Linked DNA regions of Neurospora crassa OR74A. The protein of the gene in region 1 binds, or shares a complex with, the protein of each later gene. Links are inferred from orthologs where the notes say so. Each region holds a gene or a part of one and is shown in the gene's direction. Other genes may lie near its edges.

Region 1 (5,077 bases):
TCTCCCTCTTGAGCCCAAAGAAATGGATCAAGCTTACGTGGTGATAGCGGTTGAAATAGTGCCCACGACTGACCATTTCTTGGTAAATCATTTCAGCGAGAGTGAAGTTGCCAGCCTTCGAGGCCACATCAAACAAAATGTTGAAGGTTACCTCGGTCGCCTTGATGCCAGCGTCGACTTCCATCTCGCGCCACAGTCTCATGGCAGACTGCGCCTGAGTTTCGGTGACAGTGCCAACATATCGGCTTGCAAAAGAGATGGCGCAATTCCACTCCCCTGCCGTCAAGGGCATGCTGCAGTTCCTCACATCCGCTATGACGGCGAAGTACCGCAGCATGGACTTGGAGTTTCTCCGCTGAGGCTGCCCTAATGCTTTTAGGAGCTGATGTCGCAATCGACCATTGATGTAGGGCATGCGCGGTTCCGGCAGTTGCTGGTAGAGGTCGTAGATCGTGTCAAGGTCAACCTTGTGTGGAGTGCGCAGCCGCACGAGTACAGCAAACCTGAGATCGCTCAGTGTGTGTTGGCCAAATTCGTCCAGTCCAACCACTTCGTCCGGGCCTGGATACTCGTAGTCATCTTCATTTTGTACAAAGGTGAACCGGGGCCTATCAGCGGGCGCATAATTATGCATGTAAGGATCGCGAATGAACTTGAGGTAGTCTTCGACCGTTCCATCTAGATCATGATAGGGATCTACCAGTTCAAGCAGCTCTTCTTTGGTGAGATGACCGAGCTTCGCACTGTGGGATTCGGGCAGCTCTTGTGATTGTGGGTTTGCGCCCGAGTGGGACTCGGTCGATAGATCGTCATGTAGCGCGGATGGGGCCGAGAAGACAGAGTCGGCGGGCTTCTGATCGGCACTGGGTTCGGGGGCAGCTGCGGCAACGGGGTCAGGGACCGGGGCTGCCGCCGCCGCCGCCGCCGCCGTGTGGCTCCGCTTTTGGGGAGCAGAGACCGAATAGCGGAAGAAGTTGGAGTCGAGTGCTCGTCTGCTGTTCGTGCCGGACAGACTGGTGGGAGTTACCCGCAGGGATGGGGTGGTCAGTAGCGGGCAACCGGTGGAGCCGCCTATGGGTCTCCTCGCGACCCCATCGACAAGGCCACCACTTTGTGAGCTCCAGCTGCCGTGGAAGCACCGTCGTTGTTGTACTGGGCCGAGGCCTGCTGTCGCAACCTGTCTTCTTCGTCCGCTGCCTTGGTCACCGAGCTGGATGGATGCTGTGGTTTGCGACACGGAACTGGTGGCAGCAATTGCGGTTGCGGAGGCGGCAATGGCAGACCAATTCCACGACGGACGATGCAAGAAGATGGTGCCGCATATCGACCCTTCAAATCGGCTGGAGACTTTCATGAGCTGCCGCCGTCCAACATGATGGCCTGCCCATTCAGCCAACCTTTTCTTGCCTGTTCCCCGCGAGTGTCGGCCGCAATTCGATGAAGAAGAGCTCAGAGAAGACGCAATCACAAGCTGCTGGCTGCTGCGCACTCGATTGGCACTCGATGCAATCGCGGTTACTGGCGAATTGGATCGTACTCAGGTCGATGTGGTCAGGGCGTCAGATTCGTGGAGGGCGGGGAAGTATGGGGAGAATGGGGAGAACTCGAGTCATGAAGTGAGGAGGGATGTGGCAGGAAACTGGGGTCGGGTGAGCGACGCGATGATTGAGAAAAAGTTGGGGTAGTGTAGTGGTGTACACTACAATACATGGACGAGGCACAGCTCCAGGTACCTTGCCGTGAGCACACCCCACCCCTGCCTCTACGAAAGAGGGGAAGCTGGAATAGGGTCCAGTCTCGGCCGGGCTCAAGACCCCCACTTCTGTTATCGATAAGCACCTAGCTAGGTACTTCCCTTCCCTTTGGTCGCTTAATGGCGGGGCGGGGAACTATTTTTTTTTTGCCGGCACGTCCTTCCAATTGCTCGCCCGCTCGCGGCAGGCAGGACAGCAGGTCGCGCGGGTTACCGGCAACAACTGAAGGTCGTGTCGGATCGTGCCTGTCTCCAAAAGGCACAGCTCCACTTTGGACAAAGCTAAGCAAATAGCGATAACGATAGGTTTGGCGGGTGAGGGAATCCATTGTGCCTACGCAGCGCAGCGCAGTGTATTATTATTACCTTACACAGGTATACACACCCCGTAACCTCGTAGCCTTGCCTTTGCCTTGGGAGGGTACCTGAGGAACGAAAGGACCGCCGAATCCGCCAATGGTCCTCTGATCTCAGCCAACACCACCGCTGCCGTCGATTATCACCAGTAATTCCCTCCACAACACCCAAACGCCGCCAGCGACGACCGGACAAGATGGGCAAGGGGCGCATCTTCCAGGCCGCAAAGGTCTACCAGAGGGCCAGCGAGGCTGCTGCCACCAACATCGTCTCTGGCCTGCCACCACGGAACCCACCACTGTGGCTCAAGGCCATCGAGTCCATCCCTCCCGCTGAGATCAACACCAGACCGTATCCGATCCAGCACTCTCCGCCGAACCCGCGAGCGCGCAAGCCACGCAACCTCTTTAGGCCCACCAAGATCGTCTATCCCGAAGATGAGTTGCGCCGCGACTTCTACCGCGACCACCCTTGGGAGTTGGCCAGGCCTAGGATGATTATCGAGTTGGATGGCAAGGACGCCCGTTTCCTTGACTGGTCCAAGGGCCTCAGGCAACGCGGCATCCCCTTGTCCGGCGAGAGGTACGTTGTTGGATGAGCGCATTGCACATGGCGCAAAAGCCCGGCGGACAGGCATGGAAATTGGATGCTAACCCGAATCGCAAACGATAGTGTCGTTCAACGTCAGCTCTGGCTTATGGAGAATCAAGGCATGACCAAGCAGGAAGCCTACGACAAGGCGCGCCACGAGTTCTACAAGTTGAGGCAGTTGGAGCAGATGGAGCGCAGGATAGCCGTCGAGGAGGCCCGCATGGTTGGTGGCTACTTTGGCAAGGACCTTCTGACGGTCGGCATGGAGCTCGAGAACAAGACGTATGAGAGTTGGAAGAAGTGGGCTACGACCGAGATCGCCCGCCAGGAATCTGCCAGGGCTTCCATGTACACCAATGTCGTCGACAACTCTGCGCTCGAGGAATCTGAGGAGGACGAGCTGCTCGCGCAGAATTAAGGCAACGAATTGGAGTAAAAGGGGAGGGACAGAGTGGTATAGCGTGGCTGATACCCATCCGTGTCGGGGAAAGACGATGCCGGCCCACTCGTGCACAAGTGTAAGAATATCACGTCTCTTTGTACATATAGAGAGGGCAAGAGACTTTGTAGAAGTACATGTGATTCAGGAGCCTGGTCGCCTATCTTCGAAGAAACCCGGCAGACACCGGCCCGATATACTGACTGCCCTTGAATATTTTCGCCAGACTCTCGTGCTGCACACCGACAACATCGGCAATGCCCGTTTTTAGAAACAACTTCCCCGTCAGACTCATCGTCTTGGACCTGGCCCAGGTCTCGATGTACACCACCTTGGCCCTGTTTTCGGGTACGAGGTAGAATATCTTGAGCAAGTGGGCCACCAAACACACAATAAAGCCGTTGGCAGGCCCATTTGTAACAATCACATGCGGGTATCTGAATCCCTTTCCATGATCCTTTGTTGACCGTGGGTTGGGCATCCGTGTGAGGGCATTGGCGGCATGAAAGGCGGATATGAGGCAGGTAAAGGGTGCCGTATAGAGCGGTTGATGGACCTTGCGCGCACGGCGGATTAAGAAGATATCAGAGGTGCCTGCTCGATCATCTTCTCCGGGATAGGCGTCCTTGATAGTCGCTTCCAGAAGGCGGGCCTTGCCGAGAGAGGAAGTGTCTCCGATGGAGATGATGTACCGCCGGTGGATGTTTGCCTGGCCGCGAAATGACTGCTTGATGGTCTCAATCATCTCAGCAGTGTGTCCACCAGAGCCAAGTATATATGTGAAGTAAATAGCAGGAAGAGAGGTGGTGTTGGGAACTTGTGTGCCAGCGGCATTGGGTTGGGGCGTATTGCTGGGGACGAGCCAGCTGCCACCTGGCTTTTGACGCCGGCGTATCATTTCAAAGTGCCGGTAGACAATAAAGGTACCAAGCACTATCCCGACGGTGATGACGAGGGAGATGAGCCATAGCCATGATAGACCAGAGAGGAGAAGCCCGGCTGCGGTGGAGGATGCTGCACCCGCAACAAAGGTGGCTGCTGTCAAGTTGATGCCGCTCACAGTCTCAACATGTAACTGAGAGTAGCTCTCAGCTCTGGTGTCGGGCTTTAGCTCTTGATCATTGCGCGATTCTTCCTTGCCCGCCAGCACGGACGCTGAAGTAGTAGGGGCCATTCTAGAGAGCCCCAAAGGTCTCTTCAAAATTCTATTGGTATAATTAGTTTCACATTCTTTGAATATGGAGTCTGGGTACTTGATGGTGTCACCTCGTCGAATCTTGATAACGTGTTTTGTTTGGAGGTTTCCTGAAGTCACGCCTTCCAAAATAAAGGGGCTAATAAACAATGACAAAAGGGGCACATCCAATTGGGGTAAGAAGGAGAGGCTTGTTTGGTGCCGTCTGGAGGTGAACATGTAGACTCGCTCATATAAGCCCCATGCCGACTTGACACATGTGTCTCCAGGTGAATGGGTGTTTTAGATCTGGCAAGATTTAAAGCGTGATATATGACATCAAGATCAAAGGCTTTTAAGTCGTAGAGGCATGTGGAAAAAATGACACTGAGCAAAAGGCGATGGAGGTGTGGTTTCTGTAGAGGTAGCTACATGACGGGAATGAGCCAGTGCATGTCGCTTTACGGGGCACGACAATGAATGACGGGAAGCTTGGGCCAAATTGAAACCCCTGAAAGAGAGACCTGGAGAACACCCGACACGCACCCCTGGGCCCTGATGATCTGCCGAATAGCGGAAGGGAATGACGACGGTGGCCCCACTGGTGACTGCGATTTGGGCGCATTTGGCGGCCCAGGCCGCTAAAAAGTTGACCGACCGCCTGGCAGAAAGCGGGAAGTTGGGAACCGCATGGATGCTTGTTGTCAACGAAACCTCAAGAGAGAGAGCTCCTCCTCACTCAGTAACCCCAAAGTCCCATGTC
Region 2 (5,149 bases), on another chromosome or scaffold:
TTTGAAACTCGGCATCCCCTTAACTCCATGATATCCTAACCAATATGTACATGCACACCCTTATATAACACTACCATCAGAACACATATCGACAGTCAACCCGCTATCTTAAGCAGTGTACTGCTTCTGGAGAGTCTTGGCAATAGTGTTAAGCTGGATGTTGCTGGTACCCTCGTAAATGGCACCGATCTTGCTGTCACGGAAGAACTTTTCAGCAAGACCCTCACGGACGAAGCCCATGCCACCCATCCACTCGACAGCGAGACCGGAGACGCGGCCGGCAACCTGGGAAGCGTAGAGCTTGGCCATAGCGGCATCCATGACGAAATCCTCGCCGGCCTCCTTCTTGCGGGCGGCATTGTAGACGAGCGCGCGCGCGGCGGCGATCTCGGTGTAGGACTGGGCGATCTGGTGCTGCATGCCCTGGAACTCGCCGACGAGCTGGCCGAACTGCTTGCGGTCGTTCCACACGTACTTGACCGCGTTCTCCCACGCACCGAGCGCGAGACCGGTCATCTGGGCGCCGATACCGATGCGGCCCTCGTTGAGGATGCCAATGGCGTACTTGTAGCCCTCGCCGACCTTGCCGAGAATGTTCTCCTTGGGGACCTCGACGTCGTCAAAGTTGAGCACACACGTGCTGGAGGCCTTGATGCCGAGCTTCTTCTCCTTCTTGGCGATGCTGAAGCCCTTCATGCCCTTCTCGACGATGAAGGCGGTAATACCGCGGTAGCCCTTGCTGGGGTCGACATTGGCGAAGACAATAAAGAAGTCGGCCTCCATACTGTTGGTAATCCACATCTTGCTGCCGTTGATCTTGTAGCCGTTTTCGGTCTCGACGGCGCGTGTGGCGAGGGCGAAAGCATCAGAGCCGGAGACGGGCTCGGACAAGCAGAAGGAACCGACGGTGTTGGTAGCCAGCTTGGGGAGGTACTTCTTCTTGAGCGCCTCGCTACCCCAGCGAATGACGGCGGTATTGACAAGGGTGTTGTGGACGTCAACCATGACGGATACCGAGGGGTCGATGCGGGCGAGCTCCTCAATACAAACAATGGCGGCGGTGAAGTTCATGCCGGCACCGCCGTACTCCTCGGGAATCTCGACACCCATAATACCCTGCTCGAAAAGCTGCTCGACAATGGCGGGGTCCATAGCCTCGGCCTCATCCATATCGCGGACCTTGGGAAGAATGACATCGTTGGCGAACTTCTGGACAGTCTCAGCCATGGCGGTCTCAACCTCGGAGAAGTGGGTAATGGGGGTTGGCGGCAGATCGGTTATGTCCCGGCGAGGGGAGGTGGTGGAAAGAGTGCGAGCGCTATGTCGGGAAACCAAGTATTAGCACATCGCCTTCTCCCTCTTCCAGCCCATCTCTTTTGAGACCAGACCAGGCATGAGACGAGATGACAAAACTTACCATTGGACGACGGGAGTTCTGGAGAGTCTGGGAGCGGAAACTGCCTGAGCCCTGCGGACGGCGGGACGCAAAACCCTAGTGAACGACTTCATTGTGTCTGATGCGTATGTGTGATGATTAAAGAACCGATCGGAAACCTGGCGCGAGTGCTGTCTAGGAAGAACGAAGAGGACAGAGATAATGGAAGAAAAGAAGGCGGAAAGGGTATCAAATGCTTGGGGAAGGAGAACTGGAGGTGTGATGGAACGAGCTTCGGGTACTTATAAGTCGCTGGGCACGGTACAGCGGAGCTAACACTAACGACCAGATGAAAGATGTACTTATGTAGCTCCGTAACGATGATCCGTGGAGTATTGGATGGAAGGCAACAATGACAGCGTGGGCTCAAAATAAGGTGAAGAGAGTCCCGATTTCTCTTGACCTTTGCATCGTATGCATCTCCTACACCTTCGATGTGTCTAACCTGTCACTATGCATTTGATATACAGAACAGATCATTATCGCAGAAGCCCACGCGGTATTCGAGGAGATAGGTGCGTACACCTTGATAGCAGGATACCTACGGGCAACCGGGACAAGAGCTCTACTGTTAGCTCTCTCTATCCCTCTCTCTCTCAGTAATTCAAAAGCCAAGCCAGCGGGTAACAAAGGTCAATGGCATTGGCCGGCACACGGCCGATATGCTGTGAACAGCTGGGTCAAGTGTCTCCCCCTCTGCCGAGGTAAGGTCTCCACCATTCACAAAGCTCCGAATCGGGCGGTCCTCTTAAGAGGTCATTTTCCCCACAAAGATTTCCTTGGCCGGGGTAAACGGTGGCCACGACAGGGATGCATTTGGGGGAGACACGGTAGAGACGGGACATCGGAGGAGGGGCACTCTCTCTCGAATGGACCTTGATGATGGCCGGGCACGGGGCACGGCGAGCGGTGACCATTGTTGCTAGACCGTGGATCGTGACTCGTTAATCGCGAATAGCAAACCATGGATCGTGAGCGAGAAGGGAAAACAGAGCCAGACGAGCGATAGAAATGGAATGATGAGGTGCCAACGAACGAGTTTCAGAAAACGAAGGGGAATGGAAAACAAATGCCATGTGACTGTCAGTTTGTCGAAGGCTCACAGCTAACCGATGATTGCCGCACACGACTCGGAGCTTACCCAATGGCTTCCGTCCCTCAAGCACGGCAGTAGGTACGTACCTCTGCTACCTTCTTGGCTCAGCTTATCTCCACGTGTGTCATCCCGTGACACGAAAAAAGTTCCCACACTGGTACCGCCCGCCGCCGCCGGCCCTGCGTGCGCCTGCCGGGCCCGGCCTGGGGAACCGCTATCCTGTACTGTACCGCGTCCTGTTGCGCGCCGCGACCGACCGAACTTGACGATTTCGGAGCATCCCGCCATCAGCAAGATCCACAAGATCACAAGATGGCGACGACTTTCTTGCGGAACTTGTTTTCGCAGGCGCAGCCGTCGCTGCTACGACGGCCGCTGATGCCATCGTCCTCTTCCATCCTTCCTGCTGCTGCGCGGTTGTTCTCCAGCACTCCGGCGCAGAATGCCACTCTTAACCAGGTCATGAGGGTAAGTGATGATGATGAGGCTATCCCCAACCCGCCTACCTCTACCTACCTATGCACCTATCACCACTTTGGTTCCCGTGCTACTACCACAGCCCTATGTCCCGCGTCCAATTCAATCTGATCAAAAGCTAACCACTCTTATCTTCATTCCTCCAGGGTTGCCGTAAGCCCCAACGTGCTCGCCACGCCGTCTCCCCCGCCCTGTCCTCCATCAAGTCTCCCGCGCTCAAGGGTGTATGTGTCAAAGTCGGCATCACGCGTCCCAAGAAGCCCAATTCGGGCGAACGCAAGACTGCCCGTGTCCGTCTTTCCACGGGTAAGGTCATCACGGCCTATATCCCCGGCGAGGGCCACAACATTTCGCAGCACAGCGTCGTGCTCGTGCGTGGCGGCAGAGCCCAGGATTGCCCTGGTGTGAGGTATCATCTTGTTAGAGGTGCTTTGGATTTGGTAAGTTTTTTCCTGAGAAGAAAAATCCCTAGATGGAGACCCCTGGATGGAGGATGGGAGAGAAGGAGAAAAAGGGGAAGATGAGTGTTTAGTTTGTGAAAATGATGTGCTGACAAAGAATGGTGATAAAACAGGCCGGTGTTGCTACTCGTATGTCTAGTCGTAGCAAGTACGGTACCAAGAAGCCCAAGAAGGCCTCTGTTGGTTAAGCAGCTAGCACAACAGAGCACAATTGAGATGATACCCCCCCTGGTTACATGGCAGTAGGATGATGATGATGTGATGTGAGCGTGGTGGAGGTGGTTAAGCTTCATCCATGTAGTTCATCATTCCGCATCCTAAACTATGTGTCCGTGTACTATAAGGAAATAAAAGGTGCATGACAGGATATCGGCGTCCATATTCCTTGTATTACGACTGTCGAAGACTGGCCATGTTCAAGATGATACAACACCGAAGACGAAATACTTCGGGGAAGGACGGAGACACTGGACCAACTGTGTTGCTGTCAGCTTGCCTTTTCACACCTGGCAATACCAGGGTTATCTCAGCAGTCGGTAACAACGAACCTAACCCTAAGTGATTGTGTCATGATTTCCTTAACGCCCCTTATAGCCCTTCCCTATCCATCAAAACACTCAGAACAGGCAGCTTCGTTTTTGCCCAACCTTTCCCATTTATAGGTCCATGTTTCCAGGCAATTGGGTTGTACCACCAATTGAGAACGAAAAAGTCATTATAACGATAATACATTCTAGGGAATGTCCGCTTTTGGTTTTATTTGCAGACCTGTTTTCCCAACATAAAGCCTTAATCCCCACACCCTCAGAACTGTTTCTTCTTCGCCTCCTTCTAATCCGACTGATCTTGCCAGCCTTCTGGCTTCGGAAGACCATTAAGCTCGTAGTACCTCGAAGTGCCTGATAAGTGATTGGGGTCAGTGGACGGCTCAGTAAGAGAAGGGAACTTCCGGGTAAGACTTACAAGAATACCCCTTCCAGTCAAAGTTCTCCTTGGGGTTGCAGTGGCACTTGCGGTCGAGACGGAACTGCTCTCCGGTGGGGCAGTGAGTGAAGGGAACGTGGTAGTAGGCAATGTCGTTGAAGAAGTGGATTTCCTCCTTCTTCAACATCAAGCCGGCGGCAATAGAGTGGACCGGGGCATCGCCCCAGCGCTCATAGAAGAAACCACCATCCTGATCCAGAGACTCGAAGTAGTCGGTGTAGGCCTTGGAGCGAAGCCAGTTGAGGCTACCAATCTCAAAGTTGGACCACTATAATAACATTGTTAGACTAAACTTGTCGCAAGCTGTGAATCCTCACGGAAAATACTTACAAAGTGGCACTTGTTGTAGGTCTTGCCACCATCGTCACTGAGGAAAGCCATGGAGTTGCCCTCAGCAATGTGCTCGGGGTGGTTCTTGATGAACTTGGTAACGCTGTCCCAGAGGGTCGGGATAGTCTCGAAGTACTCGTAAAGGCTGAGCACGAAGCTGTACTTCTTGTTATTCTCGTGCATGAAGCGGAAAGGATCGTAGTGGATGTCGCAGTGGAACTCGACGCTCGGCTCAACGCGCCAGTAGTAGTCGTAGTTCATCATGAGGGGCTGGCGGAAGAAGAAGCCGGACTCAAAGCGGCACATGTGGCGGTAGCTGATACTGTCACCGTAAATGATCTTGCGCTGTCTCATGTCCTCGCGAAC
Region 3 (5,342 bases), on another chromosome or scaffold:
TAACCCTTCTACAATAGAGATCGATGGATTGGTTGATGCTATCGTCAAAAACTCGTTTATCCGATCACGATGTCAGTTGGCTGTTATGTGACGTTCGCACTGATGATGTAGAATATGTTCTCAATTGGTATACCCAAAACACCTAAATCGCTAATAAGGTTCCCAAAAACATCTCATCAGATAGGTAACGCCCCGTCACCCCTCAAATAAACTTCTTCTCAAACTTCTTCAACATGCCAGTCACTCCCCTCTCTAACTTGCCCGCACCCTCTTCTAGCCTACCCTTCTTCTGCTCAGGCACATACAACTGATGGTGGACCCCATACTCTTGCTGTCCAGCGACATTCTGCCCATAACCCGCTCCTTGCTGCATCGACGGCGGTATCGGCGACGGCGCAGCCACGTAACCAGCACCAGGTGGCGTGGGAGTAGGAGGAACGGCTCCGTAGCCGCCAACCGCAGCGACCGAAGCAGGTTGGGCTGGGTATCCTTGGCCATATGGGCTAGCAAATCCAGGGCTGACGAGACCGGGACTGGGGAGCCCACCAGGCATGGTGACAGACCTTTGTACTCCGGGATGTACGGGCGGTTGGCTGAGGCCTGTCGGGTAGCCGCCTCCAAGCGCGCCGAATCCCTGGGGCGCGAAGCCGGGTGAGGTCACGCTGTGCTGGGGAGGAGCAGCAAAGGTCGGAGCTCCAGGCGGGTGCTGTAGGTTTGGCGGAGGAATGCCTGGGCTCAAAGGTCCGCGGCCGCTGGGGGGAGGCAGGCCTGGTGAGAAGGGAGTGGTCGCATCGTAGGCCAGAGTCTGGTGCAACGGGTTCACCGCGGCATCCTCTGGGGGAGGCGTCTTCTCGCGGTACCGTACGGGTTCGGCGGCAGGTGGCGCGGCTGGGTTATAGGCCATCGGAACAAATGCTTGAGGCGATGGTGTCGAGTGATCGTGGGAAGCAGACACTGCAGACATGGGCGGCGGAGCAAAAGACTGGATTGCGCCAACTTGCGGAGGCTGTGATAAAGTGGTCGGGGGTGTACCGTGGTCAGCGATTGCTGCCCTCTCGAGTTGCTGGACTACCGCGCTGACTTCGGTATCGTGCCGAGGTGGTGGTCCTGGCTCGTTGTGGACATCGCACTGGTGCGGAGGGAGCACACGTCGGATGCCATTGACGAATTGCAGAGCATCTTGATGGTTGTGAAAGTAAATGTCGAGCGAGTGAAGCTTGTAATGGTACTTGGCCTGATTGTGAGGGTCGTATGTTGGTAGATGCCACTCCTCGTAGCCCTCGACCTCGCCAACCGTCAAAGTTACAAGGCAGGTGTGGTTGTAATCGTACTCGAGATGGGTTTTGTCGAGGTCTGGCGACACATGATGTTAGCCTTCCCACTGTCGTCTCGAGCTCTCACTCTAAATCCTAATGCTTACAGCCATCGAAAGCATCCTGGTCTTCCCTTCCAGGTTGGTTCGCAATCTCCAGCCGTGCGCGGCCCAAGTTGGCATCTTCGAAAAGGTATACATAGGAGCCCTTGTCGAACCTGTGATGAGGCGGGTTATTTGTTGGAGGGCCGTAGAAGTAGTGAATATCACCAAAGCTATGCAGCGAATCAATCAGTCAGAATGCGCCCAGGAACTATCACCTCTTTATGGGATCAACGGAAGACAAACTTACAACGTGCCGACGTTCTCCTCTCCCTCACGGGCGGCCATCTTTTGTGATCAACGAACTCGCTTGAGTGAACAAACACAACAACACAACAACGGTAAAAAGGATTGAGAGAACTGAAAGACAGCAAACTTTCTCAGCTTCCCACCCGAGGGCTATCACGCCTAATATCAGAGATGACGGAACCCAAAGAAAACAAAAGCCACTCGGCTTCCGCGTCTTTGCGATAGTACCCTACCTCTTACATACCCTTGCAGGAGACCGTGGTCTGGTTCTTCACATTCGGCTCTCACTCCATGGCGCAATCAGCACACAGCCATCCAACCAGCGCGCACGATAGGTCGGTGATGCGACCCCTAGTGCCGGTAGAGGTGACCTTGCCTGGTGGTTGCATCGTCCTGGATGGTCACTGGATGGTCCGCCTGGGCGCTTAAGGTGGGATGCCAAGAAAGAAGCACGAGCAAGTCAATTGTCACACTCTCCAGTCCTTCTTTCACAATTGACGAGGAGGGAAAGGAGCGGGAGGGAAAGACAAGAAAAAAGGTGGGGTAAGCAGGATCCATCCTCAATAAACCTGGAGAGCTACCAAGAAAGCCCCACCGGACAGACACCTTCTGGTCTCTCTGGCGGAGGGACGGGAGGCCTTTCAGGGCAGCAGGGGTCTCTTTTGCAGTGACTTTCGTGCAAGGCACAGTGGAGGTCATTGCCCGAGGTCATTCACTCTTTCAACGCTCAGCCTGAGGTCTTTTCTCGAACCATCCCTGTCCGTCCTCCACACGGCCCCGGCGGCCAAGCAAACGCACGCACGCCCGCCAGCCCGTACGTAGTGCCGTACGGCAGAAGCGGACAGAGCAGCAGGGGGACAAAAAATCGGCAGCACAACTTACCTAACGGAGCCATCCCGATCGAGACCTCGAAACCGCAATTCGCATCCGGACCCCGTTGCGCGCCGCATTCGCGAGTCCCGAAACCTCCACTTGTTTTTACGGCTCCTCCGAAGTCCGAATTCCTCCATCACGACCACCGACCCGTGACGGCCACCCGACTGTGCGCAACAGCTACGGTCTCCCGATTGGTTGTGCGTTGCAATCTTCCTTTTTTTTTTTTTTTTTTTCTGTCCCGCGAATCTTCATCGGCACGCCTAGACTAACCTCAAGACGCCCCGTCGCTGCAGCACCGATTCCTCACCCGCATCATCCTTCTCTTCATCCCGCATCATCCTTCTCTTCATCCCGCAAGGTCCCCAGTTCGCCGCCGCATCTCCCGAGCACTTCTACACCGGACGGACCAAGCCATACCAGCCGATCGACCCGACGACTTACGCGACGACGGCCGACTTCTCTCTCTTTATAACCCATCACCCAGTGCATACCATTTTCTCTCTCTCTCTTCAGCAACACAAAAGTCCCACACGGGCATCATCAAACCTTCAAAATGGGCATTCAACAAATCACCAACATGTGCTCGCACCTCCAAAACGCCTCGCGCGCTCGCCTGGGCCTGACCTCCCTGCCCAACACCAAGTACAACCTCGCCCTGGCCCTGGCCCTGCACCGCGCAGGCTTCATCTCCTCCATCACGCGGGGCGGTCCTCACCCGCCCACGCCCGAGGCCCTCATGACCTACGAGCCCGAGCCCGTGACCAGTGCCAACGTGGCCACGCGCCGGTTGTGGGTGGGACTCAAGTACTGGAACGAGGAACCCGTCTTGAAGGAGCTGAAGCCGATTTCGAAGCCGTCGAGGCTGGTGACTGCCTCCCTGGAACAGCTGAACCGTGTGGCGAGGGGCTTTCCCGCGGGATACATGAAGGGGTTGCAGTTGGGCGAGTGTTTGTTTGTGAACACTGATAGAGGTGTGTTGGAGGTTAGGGAGGCAGTGGAGAGGAAAGTTGGTGGGCTGGTTTTGTGCAAGGTAAAATAGATGGGTAGAAGAAGAAGAAGGAGGAGGGTCTCAAGGATGGACGGTGGGGATAGGACATGAATTCGGTGAAAGGAAGGCATTGTTGGGAAGGAAGCGAGAGGAATAGAAGAAGAGGAGGAAGAGTCACCGCACTTTGGGAGGATCTCAAACCTGAACTGGAGCCAACCATTTCTGTGCGCAGTGTACGATACGGATGTGATTCCATTGTACACTAGACGACTTAGCAAGACTGGACAAACATGGAAAGGAATAGACATTGGCAAAGCAGAGCTCATCCTTGGTTCTTGCTATGTGAATATGAGGTATGAGGCCAAGAAAGACAACGAGCTGGCATCCTGTATGCTATGATCTATGCATGACAACTAAATCATCAGCACTCACCGTGGAAACAGATATCACCAAGATTGATAAGAAAAGGGATCGATTCATCCTGCTCCAGGGTGCTGTACAACCCACTATCTGCTATGCATTCATACTTCATGCTTCGCCAACTTTCTTACAAATGTGTGATTGGTCTTTCTACAAAGGTATCATGAAATGTGCTAACCCAGTAACACTGCATCCCCCTCTTTCACTGTCTCGAACAAGTAATAGGGGTGATTAAAAAAGACTCTACAGGCCAAAAAGCGATCACATCCACCATTTCTGGCTTCCTTTTACGAATCAGAAGTGTGCTTAAATTCCGAAGTGCTGGCAGACTTCTCCTCGCCGTGCTCCTAGATGTCAGCATCGGTGGTATCAACAACCTCGGCAGCGGACGAGGGGGCGGCTTCAGTCTCCTGGGCTGGCATCTCCTCCTTAACAACATGAACGTCAGAAGTGGGGGTTTGGGGAGCTTCCGTGGCTTCCTCTACCGGCTGAGCAACTTCTTGAGGAGTCTCCGTCACAGTGGGGAGGGGCACCTCAACAGCTTCTTCTGCCTTGGGAACCGGCTCAGCCTTGGCCGCAGCTGAACCAGCACGAGACTGTTTCGGTGTCGTAGCCGCAGATGGTGCTGCAGATTTAGTGGCAGGTTTTTTGGTCCGTGGCTTGCTGAGACTTCTCTTCGCGGCAGGTCCGGGCGTGGCCGATGACCTCCTGGGTGGCGATGTGACAACCTTCTCAGCGGTCTTGGAGGCGGATGCCGCGGTTGGACGCGTCATGCGTGCCAAAAAACCTTCGTCCACTTCCTTCTCCTTCTTCGTTGGCGGATGATCCTTCGCGGTCTGCTTCACAGGCACACCTAGACTAGGGCGAGGCCGGTTCTTGGTCGAGTTCTGTCTCTTGAGGGTCGAGGTGGCCGTTTTCGGTGCCGACACAGTAGAGGATGGCACTCTCGCTCTGCTAGAGGAACGGCTAGCCGGGGTAGGACCTCGCTCGCGAGTCTGCGACTGGGCGCGCGCATTGCCGAGCTTGGAACCAGAAGCAGCCGTATGAGTGGTAAGGCGTTCTGGGAGAGCAGCTGGGCGTGTAGGTGACTTGGCCTTGGGCTTGGAGCTCCCGGTGATGACAGGAGATGGGGCCAAGGACGCTGGCTTTTTGTTCAGCGAGGAACCGAGAGGTTTCGTGGTCTTTGCCGCCGAAGGCTTCGGGGTAGCGGTCTTGCCCGGAGTCTGACTGGATGCGGTCGTAGGGTTTTGCGCCTTGGGGGTTTCAGCAGTGATGGGGGATTTGGCAGGCTTAGCTACTGTCTTGTTGGCCGAAGACGTTGAAAGAGGTGGGAGGTTCGATTTTGTTGTTGTTTTCGGGACGGTCCGCGCCGCCGGCTTGCTGGGATCTGTCTCT

The links. Proteins that work in one complex are often made in the same cells at the same time.
Region 2: NCU03343 (region 1) and NCU06542 share a complex: the UniProt entries of both Saccharomyces cerevisiae proteins name them as parts of the mitochondrial small ribosomal subunit. The link is inferred for Neurospora crassa OR74A from reciprocal best matches to the Saccharomyces cerevisiae genes RSM25 and MRPS12.
Region 3: NCU03343 (region 1) and NCU02951 share a complex: the UniProt entries of both Saccharomyces cerevisiae proteins name them as parts of the mitochondrial small ribosomal subunit. The link is inferred for Neurospora crassa OR74A from reciprocal best matches to the Saccharomyces cerevisiae genes RSM25 and MRPS8.

The regions. Positions count from the first base shown.
Region 1 is NC_026502.1:1,033,306-1,038,382, reverse strand, and holds NCU03343 (mitochondrial 37S ribosomal protein RSM25), read left to right. Parts: upstream 1-1,966; 5' UTR 1,967-2,306; coding exon 2,307-2,692; intron 2,693-2,782; coding exon 2,783-3,119; 3' UTR 3,120-3,300; downstream 3,301-5,077. Other genes in the region: NCU03342 (hypothetical protein), read right to left, coding at 1-1,354; NCU03344 (hypothetical protein), read right to left, coding at 3,301-4,314. UniProt on the Saccharomyces cerevisiae protein: Component of the mitochondrial ribosome (mitoribosome), a dedicated translation machinery responsible for the synthesis of mitochondrial genome-encoded proteins, including at least some of the essential transmembrane subunits of the mitochondrial respiratory chain.
Region 2 is NC_026504.1:1,583,548-1,588,696, reverse strand, and holds NCU06542 (putative mitochondrial 37S ribosomal protein MRPS12), read left to right. Parts: upstream 1-2,700; 5' UTR 2,701-2,843; coding exon 2,844-2,999; intron 3,000-3,154; coding exon 3,155-3,448; intron 3,449-3,582; coding exon 3,583-3,657; 3' UTR 3,658-3,838; downstream 3,839-5,149. Other genes in the region: NCU06543 (acyl-CoA dehydrogenase), read right to left, coding at 109-1,318, 1,418-1,509; NCU06541 (alpha-1,2 mannosyltransferase KTR1), read right to left, coding at 4,301-4,368, 4,433-4,721, 4,784-5,149. UniProt on the Saccharomyces cerevisiae protein: Component of the mitochondrial ribosome (mitoribosome), a dedicated translation machinery responsible for the synthesis of mitochondrial genome-encoded proteins, including at least some of the essential transmembrane subunits of the mitochondrial respiratory chain.
Region 3 is NC_026501.1:8,604,992-8,610,333, reverse strand, and holds NCU02951 (mitochondrial 37S ribosomal protein MRPS8), read left to right. Parts: upstream 1-2,301; 5' UTR 2,302-2,736; intron 2,737-2,832; 5' UTR 2,833-3,092; coding exon 3,093-3,578; 3' UTR 3,579-4,031; downstream 4,032-5,342. Other genes in the region: NCU02950 (hypothetical protein), read right to left, coding at 203-1,353, 1,421-1,587, 1,665-1,702; NCU02952 (hypothetical protein), read right to left, coding at 4,295-5,342. UniProt on the Saccharomyces cerevisiae protein: Component of the mitochondrial ribosome (mitoribosome), a dedicated translation machinery responsible for the synthesis of mitochondrial genome-encoded proteins, including at least some of the essential transmembrane subunits of the mitochondrial respiratory chain.